Oryza sativa Japonica Group: one gene and its partners. The main gene of each other region encodes a partner of the protein of the gene in region 3 in a complex. Links are inferred from orthologs where the notes say so. Each region holds a gene or a part of one and is shown on either strand. Other genes may lie near its edges.

The links.
Region 1: actin-related protein 2/3 complex subunit 2B (region 3) and actin-related protein 2/3 complex subunit 3 share a complex: the UniProt entries of both Arabidopsis thaliana proteins name them as parts of the arp2/3 complex. The link is inferred for Oryza sativa Japonica Group from reciprocal best matches to the Arabidopsis thaliana genes arpc2b and ARPC3.
Region 2: actin-related protein 2/3 complex subunit 2B (region 3) and actin-related protein 2 share a complex: the UniProt entries of both Arabidopsis thaliana proteins name them as parts of the arp2/3 complex. The link is inferred for Oryza sativa Japonica Group from reciprocal best matches to the Arabidopsis thaliana genes arpc2b and ARP2.

What each region holds. Positions count from the first base shown.
Region 1 is NC_089036.1:7,667,566-7,671,755, reverse strand, and holds actin-related protein 2/3 complex subunit 3, read right to left. Parts: upstream 2,946-4,190; 5' UTR 2,811-2,945; coding exon 2,808-2,810; intron 2,348-2,807; coding exon 2,239-2,347; intron 2,136-2,238; coding exon 1,866-2,135; intron 1,130-1,865; coding exon of another isoform or gene 1,119-1,129; exon of another isoform or gene 1,056-1,118; coding exon 913-1,055; 3' UTR 521-912; downstream 1-520. UniProt on the Arabidopsis thaliana protein: Functions as a component of the Arp2/3 complex which is involved in regulation of actin polymerization and together with an activating nucleation-promoting factor (NPF) mediates the formation of branched actin networks.
Region 2 is NC_089042.1:17,335,521-17,339,930, forward strand, and holds the start of actin-related protein 2, read right to left. Parts: upstream 2,932-4,410; 5' UTR 2,819-2,931; coding exon 2,777-2,818; intron 2,111-2,776; coding exon 2,000-2,110; intron 1,907-1,999; coding exon 1,772-1,906; intron 1,628-1,771; coding exon 1,556-1,627; intron 1,464-1,555; coding exon 1,385-1,463; intron 1,257-1,384; coding exon 1,207-1,256; intron 669-1,206; coding exon 565-668; intron 450-564; coding exon 381-449; intron 298-380; coding exon 234-297; intron 164-233; coding exon 95-163; intron 1-94. UniProt on the Arabidopsis thaliana protein: Functions as ATP-binding component of the Arp2/3 complex which is involved in regulation of actin polymerization and together with an activating nucleation-promoting factor (NPF) mediates the formation of branched actin networks.
Region 3 is NC_089038.1:26,109,171-26,113,358, forward strand, and holds the start of actin-related protein 2/3 complex subunit 2B, read right to left. Parts: upstream 2,878-4,188; 5' UTR 2,767-2,877; coding exon 2,681-2,766; exon of another isoform or gene 2,597-2,680; coding exon of another isoform or gene 2,553-2,596; intron 2,461-2,552; coding exon 2,394-2,460; intron 2,252-2,393; coding exon 2,044-2,251; intron 1,917-2,043; coding exon 1,771-1,916; intron 1,675-1,770; coding exon 1,597-1,674; intron 1,521-1,596; coding exon 1,388-1,520; intron 1,006-1,387; coding exon 914-1,005; intron 800-913; coding exon 743-799; intron 661-742; coding exon 606-660; intron 524-605; coding exon 312-523; 3' UTR 1-311. Other genes in the region: BRCA1-associated RING domain protein 1, read right to left, coding at 3,469-3,780, 3,867-3,985. UniProt on the Arabidopsis thaliana protein: Functions as actin-binding component of the Arp2/3 complex which is involved in regulation of actin polymerization and together with an activating nucleation-promoting factor (NPF) mediates the formation of branched actin networks.

The DNA of each region.
Region 1 (4,190 bases), on a different chromosome or scaffold from region 3:
TTGAGATCTCTCTCTCTCTCTCTCTCTCTCTCTCTCTCTCTCTCTCTCCTTTTTTTTTCTTTTTTCTTTTTTTTTTGTCGAAGAGGATTTACACAATGTAACAGTTCTGTTGGGCGTTGCGTTGGTGGTCAATAATGCTTTTCTGAACCTATGTATGAATACCTGGCATTAGATATCCTTTGTGTCGAATGATATTTTGTTTTTCTGAATCTATGTATGAACACCTGGCATTAGATATCCTTTGTGTCGAATGACATGGTGACTGACAAGCCATAGAGCTTGAATATCACCTCAGGTCTCAGTGATGCAATGGGCTTTGCATTCAAATCGTTTATAAGCACCTTGTATCAAAGAATGCTTCATCGAATAATGAAATTAACCATGCCAATTCACACTTGAGGTGTTTATAAGCAGCAGTTTACTCCCAACGTTTGGCAAGATCAGGGAAGCGCACGTCCAGGTTTCTCCATATCTTATAATCATATTGAAAAAAAAACAGATAAAGGATTAACACGAATGATACAAAAAAGAGGGATCAGGAAAATATATATTCACATTCTCATTACACCTGATTAAATCTGTACAAATGTCCTACACGGAACATTCGCTATTCAAACATCATCTGAAAAATACATGCCCAATTTAAGGGCACGGACGGAGTACAATAAAAATGAAAAATAGAAATTCAACATAACAGCTGAAAGGTGTCCTTGTGTTCATCCATTGCAATAAACAAATTGTTGACATTCTATCCATTGTTTCATTAGAACCTTTGGCTCCATCAATCGAGGTGTAGAATCATTGTCGTTCCTTTAATTCTCTAAAGTATTCGCAGAAATAAGTACGCAAGTGCAATTACCATTCCTACAAGCTGCTCAATTGCTCAAACATGTCGCGGAAAATACCTATACTTCAAAGAATGACAATGTTCATGAATTTCCTCTTTGCAAAAGCCAACCACCATTTGTTTGGAGTACCATTAGCTCTGTATGCGCAGTTAAGCAACCTTCCACTTGTTTCCTCCCTTATCTGCTTCAGATAATTCCTCAATAGTTCTGAATCCAACAGAGAAATGCTTAATTGAGATCACATTCCATGAGAGATGGAAAGTTACTGTTTTATTTAGTCCCTAGAAGTAAAAAAAAAACTGATGCAATTACAACTTGGATGTTCCTAAAAACAGTTGTCAATAGTCAGTAAGCAACTTATTGCTTCTATACCCAGAGCAGACTTATAGTTTAGACCATAGAAATTGACAAAAAAAAAACATATATACAGGACATCAAATAAGGAGTTCACTACAGATTTAGTTAAATCCAAAATAAAAGTATCTAAGACATAAATTGCTGTAGTTTGGAAAGGTCCCCTTGTAATCTCACAAAAGCTAAATTTCCAATAGGCTTCATTCTTTTGTTTTTTCCCTAGCCAGGACAAATAGTATGGTATAGAAGAAAAGCAGCATGGATAAACAATTGGGGGAAAAGAAGAAAAACTAACTATTCGAGAAATAAGGCAAGCTTTTCTCTAGGAATAAAAAGCAACAATGATTTCACACAGTTGAGAAACTACTCCCTTCGGACTGATAATACTTATCGTTTTAGACAAGGGTGAGGTCAAATTTTAGAATCTTTGATTATGAATCATTTTTAAAATATGGTGACTACATGTATAGATTAGTCTTAAAAAGTACTTTAATAAAATCATATATTTGTTAACACCTTTATACATATTATAATTAAAAATAATGGCCAAAGTTGTTTTTTGGAAAGCGTGCTCTTGTCCAAAACGACAAGTATTATCAACCCGGAGGGAGTAAAAGAGAATACAAGCACACAAATGTGGTAGTGGCGGATGAAGTCATATACCTGCTTCCTCCTGAGATTGGGGTAGAGTGAAAAGACCAGGGAAGGGAAACCCTGGTTCCCCAGGCACAGGAACTTTCTCCAAACCCAGATTAATGATTGCCTTTGTCCCAACAGCCAGTGTTCGGCAACCTTCCAGCCTTTTCAGGGCAATATTGATGTAAAATGTCAGATAGATCAGTAACTTGTCTGCTGGGCTTTTCACATTGAAGTTTTTGAAGAAGACATTTGCTCGGAAGAATGTAATTGCTTCATCAACAATGTCAGCCTTGTCTGTAATAGCACGACATAAATCAGCAGCTTGGCATGGTTCTGTCAGAGTGAAACCACGGAAGTATATCACAATGTATTTTATGTTGTCACCGTGTCAGTATACCTTGATCGAATGCTGGCGCTGGGCCCCTTATATGAGTTTTTAGTGGAAGCAAAGGACAGCCGCATGCTTTGGTAATCCCGGTGTCATCAACAAAGCTAGAGTGATAAACCTGTCCACAAGTAGAAAAAAAGCATATGATGTTCAGATAACGGTACATTGCAAGCAAGTGAGCAACAGCGATCTAACAAAACAAGGTGGAAATACAAGGAAAATTAAAGGTGAAAACCGAGCAAAATTCTTGTATTCCACACAGGGCCTATAACACACCAATCTAATAGAACAGGTACTAAAGTATCTTCCAAGACCTCCATTCAAGAGTGCCACAAGCTGCCAATATTATGTACAGGAGCGGATCCAACTTGGGACATGGGGGTTCAAACTTCTCGGGGAATAAACAAACTGTTACTTGTATTAAGGTTAAGGCTCTGAAATTAAGGGAAGAGCTTCTTCCAGATCTAGAAGAGAAGCTAGGGTTAACGAACGAACGAACGAACGCAAGCAAATTCCAGACAAAAGTAGTCCCGATGGGAGAGAGAGAGATGAATCAGAAAGAGGATGCGGATGCTCACCATGAATCCTCTCCCCTGCTCTGCTCGCCCCGATGGAGATCGCCGCCCCTCCCCTGTTCAGCCGCGACTCGTCTCGGCGGCGCAAGGAGCGGAGGAGACAAAGAGACGGGAGATTTTCTTTTCTTTCTTTTACGCCACAAAGGGAAGGGGAAGACGCTCAGACTCTTACTATTGGGAATTATTAAGAATTTACCGCTGGTCCCACATGTATATACGGACGGACGAGTCTACGGATCGTGCGTCTGATCGGTTTGGAGAAAAATCGGACGCTTTACGTGAAAAACTATTTTAAACTGATTTTTCTCTTAAATTACTTATCCATATCATAATCCGATTGCATCATTAAATTCGCTGCAATTAAATCTTCAAAACAAGGCCACACAGGCATATATTTCGACGAAAAAAAATTTACCTTATTATTGAATTATTTTTAAATGTTGCACGATGTTCCACCAGGTATATCGGAATTGTTTTACTAAGTAGATCGAAAATATTTCACTCGTTTCAATTGGGTGTTGTTTTACCTTATATAAAAACAATGTTTCAGCAAATAGTGAAAGAATGTTTCAGTTCACTGCAACTTTTGATCCATATATAGTGAAACATTATAAGTACACTAGGTGAAACATTTTTCGGTGGAACAAAGAATAAATCAAATTCCCTTAATAGGGGGTTTCCAAAATATGTGGGTTTTTTTGTTGCAATGGAATATTTTAGTTCACTGCAACATTAGATCTATACATAGTGAAACATTATGAGTACACTACGTGAAACTTTTTTGGTGGAACAAAAAGTAAACCAAATTCCCTTAATATAGGGTTTTCAAAATATGTGGGTGATTTGTTGCAATAGAGTTGTGTGTGTGGACAAGTGGCAGGTGGGGACAGGGGACATGTGGTGGGGGCCCAAAGAGATTGCTGGTGCGCACGTGATGGGGGAAGGGTGGAGCGACCGATTTTTTCCCCTCCCCTCGCGCGACCGAGAAGGAGCATTCTCGTGTCATATACACATAAGGATCCACGTATTATAGATTGTGAGTAGTAAATTCTTAATTACCATATTTTAAAAATGGTAAAAAGTTAAAAGCTCTAGACGAGTACTCTCACCTTTATGATATCTCAATATTTTACTACTTTATAAGACTAGCTATTTCTTTATAATGACTATTTCTTTATAATGACTAGTGGTCCACATTCTAAAAATTAACAAACTCAGTTAGCGATTTGAGTCGACAACAAACTCTTCATACTACCAGTAACCACTAACTATTACTCCACGCACCGCCACCACCACTCTTTCTTTATGAGCCACCATCGTTTCTCCTCTCTGTCTTTGCATGCGCAACTGCACCCTCTAGTTGCACTCCATGAGCCATCTTTTTTT
Region 2 (4,410 bases), on a different chromosome or scaffold from region 3:
TATCAATGTTATGTTGGTACTGATCCTAACAGAGAAATGCATGCCTTAATGTATATCAGCAAGCTATGAAAGAATAGTATGAGTACAAGCTTACAGGAGTAAAAAGAGCCTCAGGAGCTTGAAACCGTTCAGTGCCCACTTTGATTACCCTTCCATCTGGAAGCTGATGACAAAAGTTCAGCCAATAATACAAAAAGGGACCAAATAGAAACAAAGCAGGTTAACATACTTACAGTGTAGCTTTTGACAAGGATAGTGGTTTCAAGTCCTAGCTGGTATTCACGCTTGTAATCATAGCTGTACATATTTTCCCTTTTCAATTCTATGAAATGTGACAGCAAGCTATAGCGAAAACAATTAAGAACAATAAAGCAACTGACCTTAAATAACATAGTTTCTCTTTTATTTCCCGGACTGTTTCAAAGTCGGCAGATTTGTTCATAGCATACCTTTAAAGCACGAAATTAAGTTGATAAGAAAAACACTGAAGCAAACAATTGCATAAGCCTGTGTTTTCAGAGCATCTTTTATCTACAAACATATAAAAATGATAAAGAGTATTACCCTCTTCTTGAGAGTAGATCAACAAGATAAGATGTTATGTGCCTTCCAGCTACATTCATTCTTTTTGTAATATGTGGGTAAGAGAATCCATCAACTACCGGCACCTGGATCATAATAAACATGACGGGCAAAAGTAAATCTAGATAAAACTTTCTTTCACATTGCAAATTGACAATAGTCAGTATTCAATTGCTTAACTTTTTGTGCTTACTACTTACTACACACGTTGGTGATAACCTTACAATGTTAACTGGCTATGTGCGAGAATAACTAAACGGGCACTAGCATGCCATACTAACTATGGACTATGGAGTATAGTTTAAATTATCATTTTATTTCCATGATCGACATTTTGACCAGAAATCATAGATTATGGTGTTCAATGGCTGTGATTTCTACTAAGCCGCCTACAAGGAAACAAGGTATGCATATAGTCTTGGTCATACATCTTCACTGGATCAACAAAAAAAGGTAGATCCTCTTAGTTGTTGAGTTGAGGAATACCCATTAGCACAGTAGAAAATTATAAACATGCATCAGATAGATATTTTTGTAGTGCACCACAAGATTAACAGAAATGGAATCTCTGCATTTCAAATCTTTGTAGATTGTACAATATAGGGAAGACTATTATTATCATACCACATGAGTGACACCATCACCAGAGTCTATGACAAGTCCAGTCAGCAAACCTGGAAAGGATACAAACATAATACATGTTAAGAAAAGAACCAGTACATTTTGTGTTTGTAGGTGTGCAAGCTCATACATGTGTCTGTATACTGAGAGGGGGGGAAGGGGAGAGAGAGAGAGAGAGTACCTTGAGCATATAGCGAAAGAACAGCTTGGACCTGGATGAATACCCCAGCAAAGTTGTATTTCTCAAACATTGTCTCAATCTATTTATCGTAGGATTCAATTTGCTAGTTAGTGATATCTTAAAAAACAAATTTCATAGTACAGAACAGCCAGATGGGAGAAAACAACCTACCATTTTTTCACGATTTTTCACAGGATTGAGTGGTGGATCTGTCAGTAGAATTTTACACTCAGAAGGATCAACCTAAAGAAACAAAATAGAAATACATTGATTTACCTAGAGCTAAGAGATTTCAAGACACATAACGGAGAATGTTGATGAATTATGAGCATATAAATTTAAAAGGGTCTGATGTTAAAGTAATATAAATCATATGAAAAGTCATACTTTCAGCTCACTGTAAAATGCATGATCCCATATATGGCCCATATCATCCCAACTTTGAACAATCCCATTTGTAACAGGATATGATACGTCAAGTTGATGCCTCAAGTCAGCACAAGCCGCTCCAACCACAATATCCTGCGTGGAACACAATCACAATTATAAGGTGTACTGAGAGAGAGACAGAATGAGGGAATGCCAGAAACACAAAGATAGACATTGATTTCAGACCGTCAATTCCTGCTCCTGGAGTGACTCCTCATAACGGAGCAATGGTCGCCCAACAACACAAGGGAACACAGATGTAGGGAAGTTCTCTCCCGCAAAGCCACACTTTACATACTGCAACATTAGCCATTAGGTACCGAATTAGAAATTAACAAGATCACCTATGAATATGATATGTTCTGCTGTTGTTTAAGGCTTTAAGCATATCGAACATCAAGCCACAGGAATGATGTGGAAAATACTTAACAGAAACTAAGCCAAAGACAACAGCATAATTTCTTTTGGACCGCAAAATATCAAACTAATGTGGTTTATATGAATGAACATTATCTATTCCAGTTCCGCATTTGGAAGGACATTATCTAAAGATTCAACAGAGAACAATAATCTCATCGTATTACAGCAATTTTTCCTGCCTATGTGGAGAACAATAATTCCACCATACTAGAGCAATTTCCCCCTTCAATTTCTTGCAATGTGCACACGTATCATTTCATCCTAGATTAATTACAGCTCAGTAGTAAGCAGCAAAACTTATTCGGCACAAATGAATCTAGAGCACAGATGCTAATTACTCCCCAACCAAAGAGAGAGAAACAATCCTATCGTATATATTCAGGAAATTTCAGAAGAAATCCAAGAAACCGTCCAAGAAGAAGAACCGGGACGGAGGGGGTGCAGATCTAGGGGCAGGAGCGTGGAGGTAGAGAGGGAGGGAGGGAGGTCGCCACGCTGGATCAGGGATCAGGCTGCGGGAGGAGGGGGGGAGGGCGGGCTTACCCCGGTGCCGTTGTCGCACACCACCACGTTCCCGCTGTCCATTCCGCCTCGCCGTCGCCGTCGCCGATCGTCTCCCCGCGCGCGCTTGGGAAGTTGGAAGGGAGAGGGGGAGGAACAGAAGGCGAGAGAGTAGGGGAGGGACGGGGACGGGGTTGGGAGAGTAGTCATTTGTCTCACTGACACGTGGAGCCCATTGCCATCGGGCCCACGTGTCAGCGACCACGTCTCTCCGATCTTAAGCAAGAGGATTTTGATAGAGGGAGCTAAATGCCTCCTTTTAATTTTGTCTTCACAAAATTATCATCCAATAAAGGTGGTTTGTTATACTTTTATCTACATGGCCCGCTAGCATAGCAAGGTTAGCAATTTCTTTATATTTCATTTCTTCGCTAGCTGTTAAAGCCTAACAGCCACCTTAATCATAGCAAAGTCCCTATCGTTGTACCCGCTAGTTGTCAAACTAGCTCTAACATGAAGGAGGGCGTCAACCCTGACGATGAGGTGACCGCTTGAGCTCGACAAAGACAAGGTGTGCATCTTGGAACTTGGGTGGCGACGAGCTTGACGTCACATCCTAACCTGGGGAACCCTACGCCCTCTAGTTCCTCTGCCGCCTAGGTCTCTCTTCACAACTGTTGTCCTTGGAGACCCATTGTTATTAAAAAAATACCTCCACTTCTAAGTGGGGACTCCTCCTGCACCAAACTTCCTCTTATCGCCTGGCGAGTTATTTGGCCTCAACGCTTACCTTGTGCTAGAGCTCCTCCAACAATGAGCAGGCATGGTAACAGGGAGGCTTCCGGCAATTGGTAGGGTGGCTACCAATCTACAACGGCTAGCGAGGTGGCTATAAGATTGAGACGACCAGCATGAAGGGGGTAGTATGGTGAGATGAAGAGGGAGAGAGAGGCACTAATCGGGCGTTTAGAGGGTTGCCACCTAATAGTTAAATTTGTCCTCAATTGAAGGGACAGATACTCACCAAGCTAGCGCTACCGCTGGTCAGGAAGCCGAAGCCAGACTAGTAAAAAAACGTTTTTTACCAACGACCAAAGCCTGAGCTGGTTTGATTTGCTAATAGTATTATTTGATTCAATAAATGGAGAATGTAATAATTTTATATGTAGTAGATATAGTGATTAAAAGTATTTGTAAAGATTGAGCGAGTATATTAATGTAAGCCTGCATTTTACTTATTCGTCTTTTTCTTCTCAAATATTGCTAGACGTCTTCAAATTATATTAGTTATAACTATAGTTCACACAATTCAATAATTTAACCTTATTGTCTAAAATGATGCTATCTTATTACGATTGGGAAACTTTTGTTGTTAAGTTCTTAACACGATAAAATTTAGCTACAGGTTATAAGACCTACTCTCAATTTTATTTTTAATTTAACTTCAGAATACTAAAATAACGATTAGCAACTTTCTATAACTTAAAAAAACCAACGTATTTCACATATGATACAATTCAATAGTTTAACCTTATTGTCTAGAATGATGTCATCTTTATATGATTGCAAAACTTTTTGCTCTTAAGTTCTTAACACGATTTTTTTTTTAAGAATTACACGGTACAACACAGACACTCACAACGCATGCACACTCACCCCTATGAATGCGTGCACGC
Region 3 (4,188 bases):
CAAAAAACACATTCGTGCTTTTCAAAAGAAAAAAAACACACTAGATGCTTTTTATCATAGACAATTCCTAATATAGTCGTCTATGATATTTTTTAGATATATGTAACGGTTTTTAAATAACCGTGTACTGTCTGTCCTCCTGTTAGCCTTTTTCTATGGTAGTGCCCTCCATCTGAATGGATGTTCATCACTCACCAGATTTGTATACTTGATCAGTATGGAAAAAGGATAAGAGTCAGCATGCATGTATCACCACGCTTGTGCCTGTGCTGTGAAAAAAAAAAGTGATTAGTCGTAAAGTTGATTAGGATTCACTCCAGCTTCTGGTACTTCTGCTCCTTCCTCTGTGCCATGGTCAGTTTGAGCACTGGGAAGCACTGGCAGTGCCTCCTGAACCGGTCCAGGCCTTTCACTCTGATCCTCAGCCGCAGCCGCTTGATCTTGTCGATGACAGCTTTGAAACCCTTTTGGAGCTTTTTGGCTCTCGCGAATTTGATTGATCTTCTCTTGCTTCTCTTCCTCACTGCGACATCAGAGTTCGCGAGCATAAGATCGGTCAGCCAGTGAGCCAGTATCGAGAGCTTGCAGTATCCAGGTACTAATACCTTGCAGCTTCTTGCTGCTCTCATCGTTTCCTCTGAACTTCGCGTCATCGATCACCTGAAGCACAGCGAGCCCGGTTTAAAGCAATTGCCACTCCTTCGATACCCAATGTTTCTTTTAAATGGTATGGAGTTGTTACCTCTGTCATGATCTCCAGACGCTTTCTCATCCTGCTCTGGATGTAGCTTCGGGTGCACTGCGCACACGAACTTTCTCGCCGTCAGTAAAACCACACCATTCCCAGTAAATTTAAAACGCCGATATAATCATGTAGTAGCACACAAAACCAGCGTGCGATGCCGCATCCTACCTTGATATGGTATTTCACGTAGGACTGGAAATTGAGCAGGATCCACGCCGTCCTAGCCGCCCTCCTCCCCTTCACGTGCCGCGCCAGGATGTCTGCAAATTCCAAACCCGCACGCGTCAACCCTCCAAAAGTCCAAAGTCGAAGTGTACCCAACCCAACCCAACCCAAGAAGCGCCGGCCCAAGCCGCGGGCACCGCGGCCTCGTCCGTCCGGATCGGCTACTTTGCCCCGCGCACCCGCTCGCGCGGGTTTCGTTTCGCGAGGGCCGCGTCGGTAGTCGCCACCGACGCCGCGGAACGGAGGCCGGCCTCTCGCGATCGCGCGGTGCGGGCGCACACAAAACGCGCGCGTCGGCACGGTGCCGTGGCGTGGCCGCGTGGGGGCGAAACGGAGAATATGCGTGGTTGGTGCGGTGCGGGGCAAGCGAGCGAGCGGACGCGGATGCCGCGTGCGATATGTGCTACTGCTACGTACCGAAGGACACGAAGCCACCGTTGGTGGTGAGGTGGTGCACGTACTCCCCGCGCAGCTCGGGTGGCGGGATCGGCGACCAGCTGCACCGCGGCGCCCTGGAGAAGGACGACGTGCTCCCGAGGTCCTGTAGCTCCTGTCGTTTTTTTTCTTCAGGTCTCGGAGCTAACCAGAAAACTCAAAAAAGTACGTACAGAAGGCGCCGGCCCAACCTGGAAGAACGACGACGCGATGGCCAGGTCCGTGTCGTCCCTGAAACGCATGGGGAATATGGCGCTTATCTTCACCGGCTGCAGGCAGGCCAAGAACCGCATCGTCAGCGAGCCGTGCTGATGCTTTGCTCTACCTGTGAAGCTTTTGTTAATCTGCGTAGCTTAGGATAGTACCGTTTTGCTGACGAAGAAAGGGTCCCTTTGGTTGTACACGAGCTTCATCGTGCCGGACGAGCCGAGGCTCGCCAGCATGTCCTTGAGCTGCGAGCTAAGGATGACGGATTGCAGCAACGATATCTGGTTGATCGCCTTGGTGCGATCTGCATAAAGAGCAATCGTTCTTACATCGAATCCTTGTTTGCTGCAGACCTGCAGTTGCCTTGGCTAATATTTCTATCACCAAATACAGCAACTGAAACAGGGTGTGAGGACTGAGGATGCTCATACCTTTCGGTCGAGTAAGGCCAGAGAAGTTCAGTCTCAGTGTCAAAGTGTATCCTTCTTTTGCAGGCTCGATGATCTCTGCAAACTTGTGATACATTTTCCTTGTCTCCTGTAATGTGATTTCAGGCAAGCCGCTGGATGGCGAAGCCTCATAAGAAAGAGATGGTGTTGATATTGACAAGTATATGTTCTCTGAATCTGTAATAGAAGCCTGAACAATTATGCAAATTGTAAGTGCCGAGATGTTCTGTTTGGTTGATACTTGATGCGTATTATATGATCATTTTCCATGCCCTACATTATTTGTTTCAAATTGCAAGATAATGCATCAAAGGTGTTTGGAGCAAAATTACCTGTAAATGGTAACGGATTGATCCAAACTCAAACAAGGTATGATCAACAGGCATAGGTCGTTCAACACTGCAAAGATCAAGAGAAACATAGTTTTCTGATCACATTGCGTCAACCAATCCATGTATGTATGTAGGAGCGGCACAACTCAGGCAGCCAACCTTTGCACACAGACAACTTTTCTGCTTTCACCTCAATGTAGAGACTGGATTGAATTCAATTATCGAAAAAAGATTTCCGCTTTCACTGGCAAAGAAAGAGAAGGAAAGATTAACCAACAGCAACGCACCTCTGCAATCCCGTCAGGATTTCCACCAGCGCCCGCGATCCGCTGCTGAAGAACGCCATGGAGCTAGCACTGTTACCGCATAGCATCAATTGCTGGCTCCTTATTATAGAGGGGCCTAGTGGTGGGAGAAGAGAAGATGCAGAAGTGCTTCTACATCACTGCACGAGGACGAGGGTCTGGTGAAAAGAACAAAATCATGGGACACCAACAGCAGCAAGGGGACACCGGTGACCGTCTGACTGGTGAGACTTGAAAGCCTGAAGGGGACCTCTACTGTTGTTGGTAAACATCTGAAGCAACCAGCTGAGCTCAGCCATTTCAATTCCTTGCTTTGTTTCAAATGCACTCCACAATCATTTGACGCCTTTGCCCATCATCCCTGTAGCAGTGAATAATTAAACTCCATAGCTGAACAGAGGAACTCTTGAATACTAGTAGCACCGAAGCACTGATGTGATTCAAATCCGCCAAGAAGTTTTTTTTTGTTTTTTTGGTAAAAAGAAAAAGAACGGCAAGTAGGTGTTTCCCCAATCAACTCAAGCAGATTTGGGAGTAACCCTGCCTGCAAGGCTCACCTTTTTTGCAAAATAAATATTAGACCAACTGCGCCCGGCGGTAGCCGGTAGGTGAAACATATGAAATGACGACACCGACAAGAAAATGGAAAGAGACATATCAATATTATTTGAATTAAATTGCTTGCTCACGTTACAACTTACAACATCTAGAAGATATTTTCACTCAAGAACATATCAGTAACATCCTAACTCCTAACCTAAGATACAGCATCACATGGTCAATTGCACTGTGCATGATGCAATAGAATCCAGAACACATGTATGAGGAACAGCCCTGGAGCCAATCGTTGCCGCCAATTCTTCAGCCTCAGCCTTCCTCTTTCTGATGACCTCATTAAGGGTATCAGGATCACTTCCTTGTGGTGGCTCCATGCTGTAAATTATCAAGGATGTGCTAGAGAGATCAGCCTTGTCCAAGATTGATCCCCCAGCTGCAGTGATCAAATCTTCAAGGTGAACCTTGTAATTGGGCATGAAATGGCCACTGAAGTAAAAGGTCAATCCTGCAAACAGATGTGGTGCCTAGAAAACAAGAAACACATGGGATCAATACTCCATGAAGATTGAACTTGTACTTTGACTTATTTACTCAGTGAATTTATACACACATTTTGCATTGCTCGTAGTCTTCCCATGCGAGGGCCATCAAAGGAGCCATGAACATCAGAACTGATCTCATAAGGCTCTTCTGGGACTGGTTCTTTAGCCTCCATACAAGCTTTCAGCCCTAAATATTACACAATAACATGAATCAGAGAAACTTCCTAGCAGAAGAGGGTATTTACAATGGAGCAACCATTGTAAATGCAAGCATAAAAATATTCATGTGGTAAGCATGCTCAACTTATTTTAAGCGTATGAAAAGAGAACTACATGTAAGAAGTGACAAAATCCATCAGCTATTGTCTAATTTCTAAAAGATGACAAAGG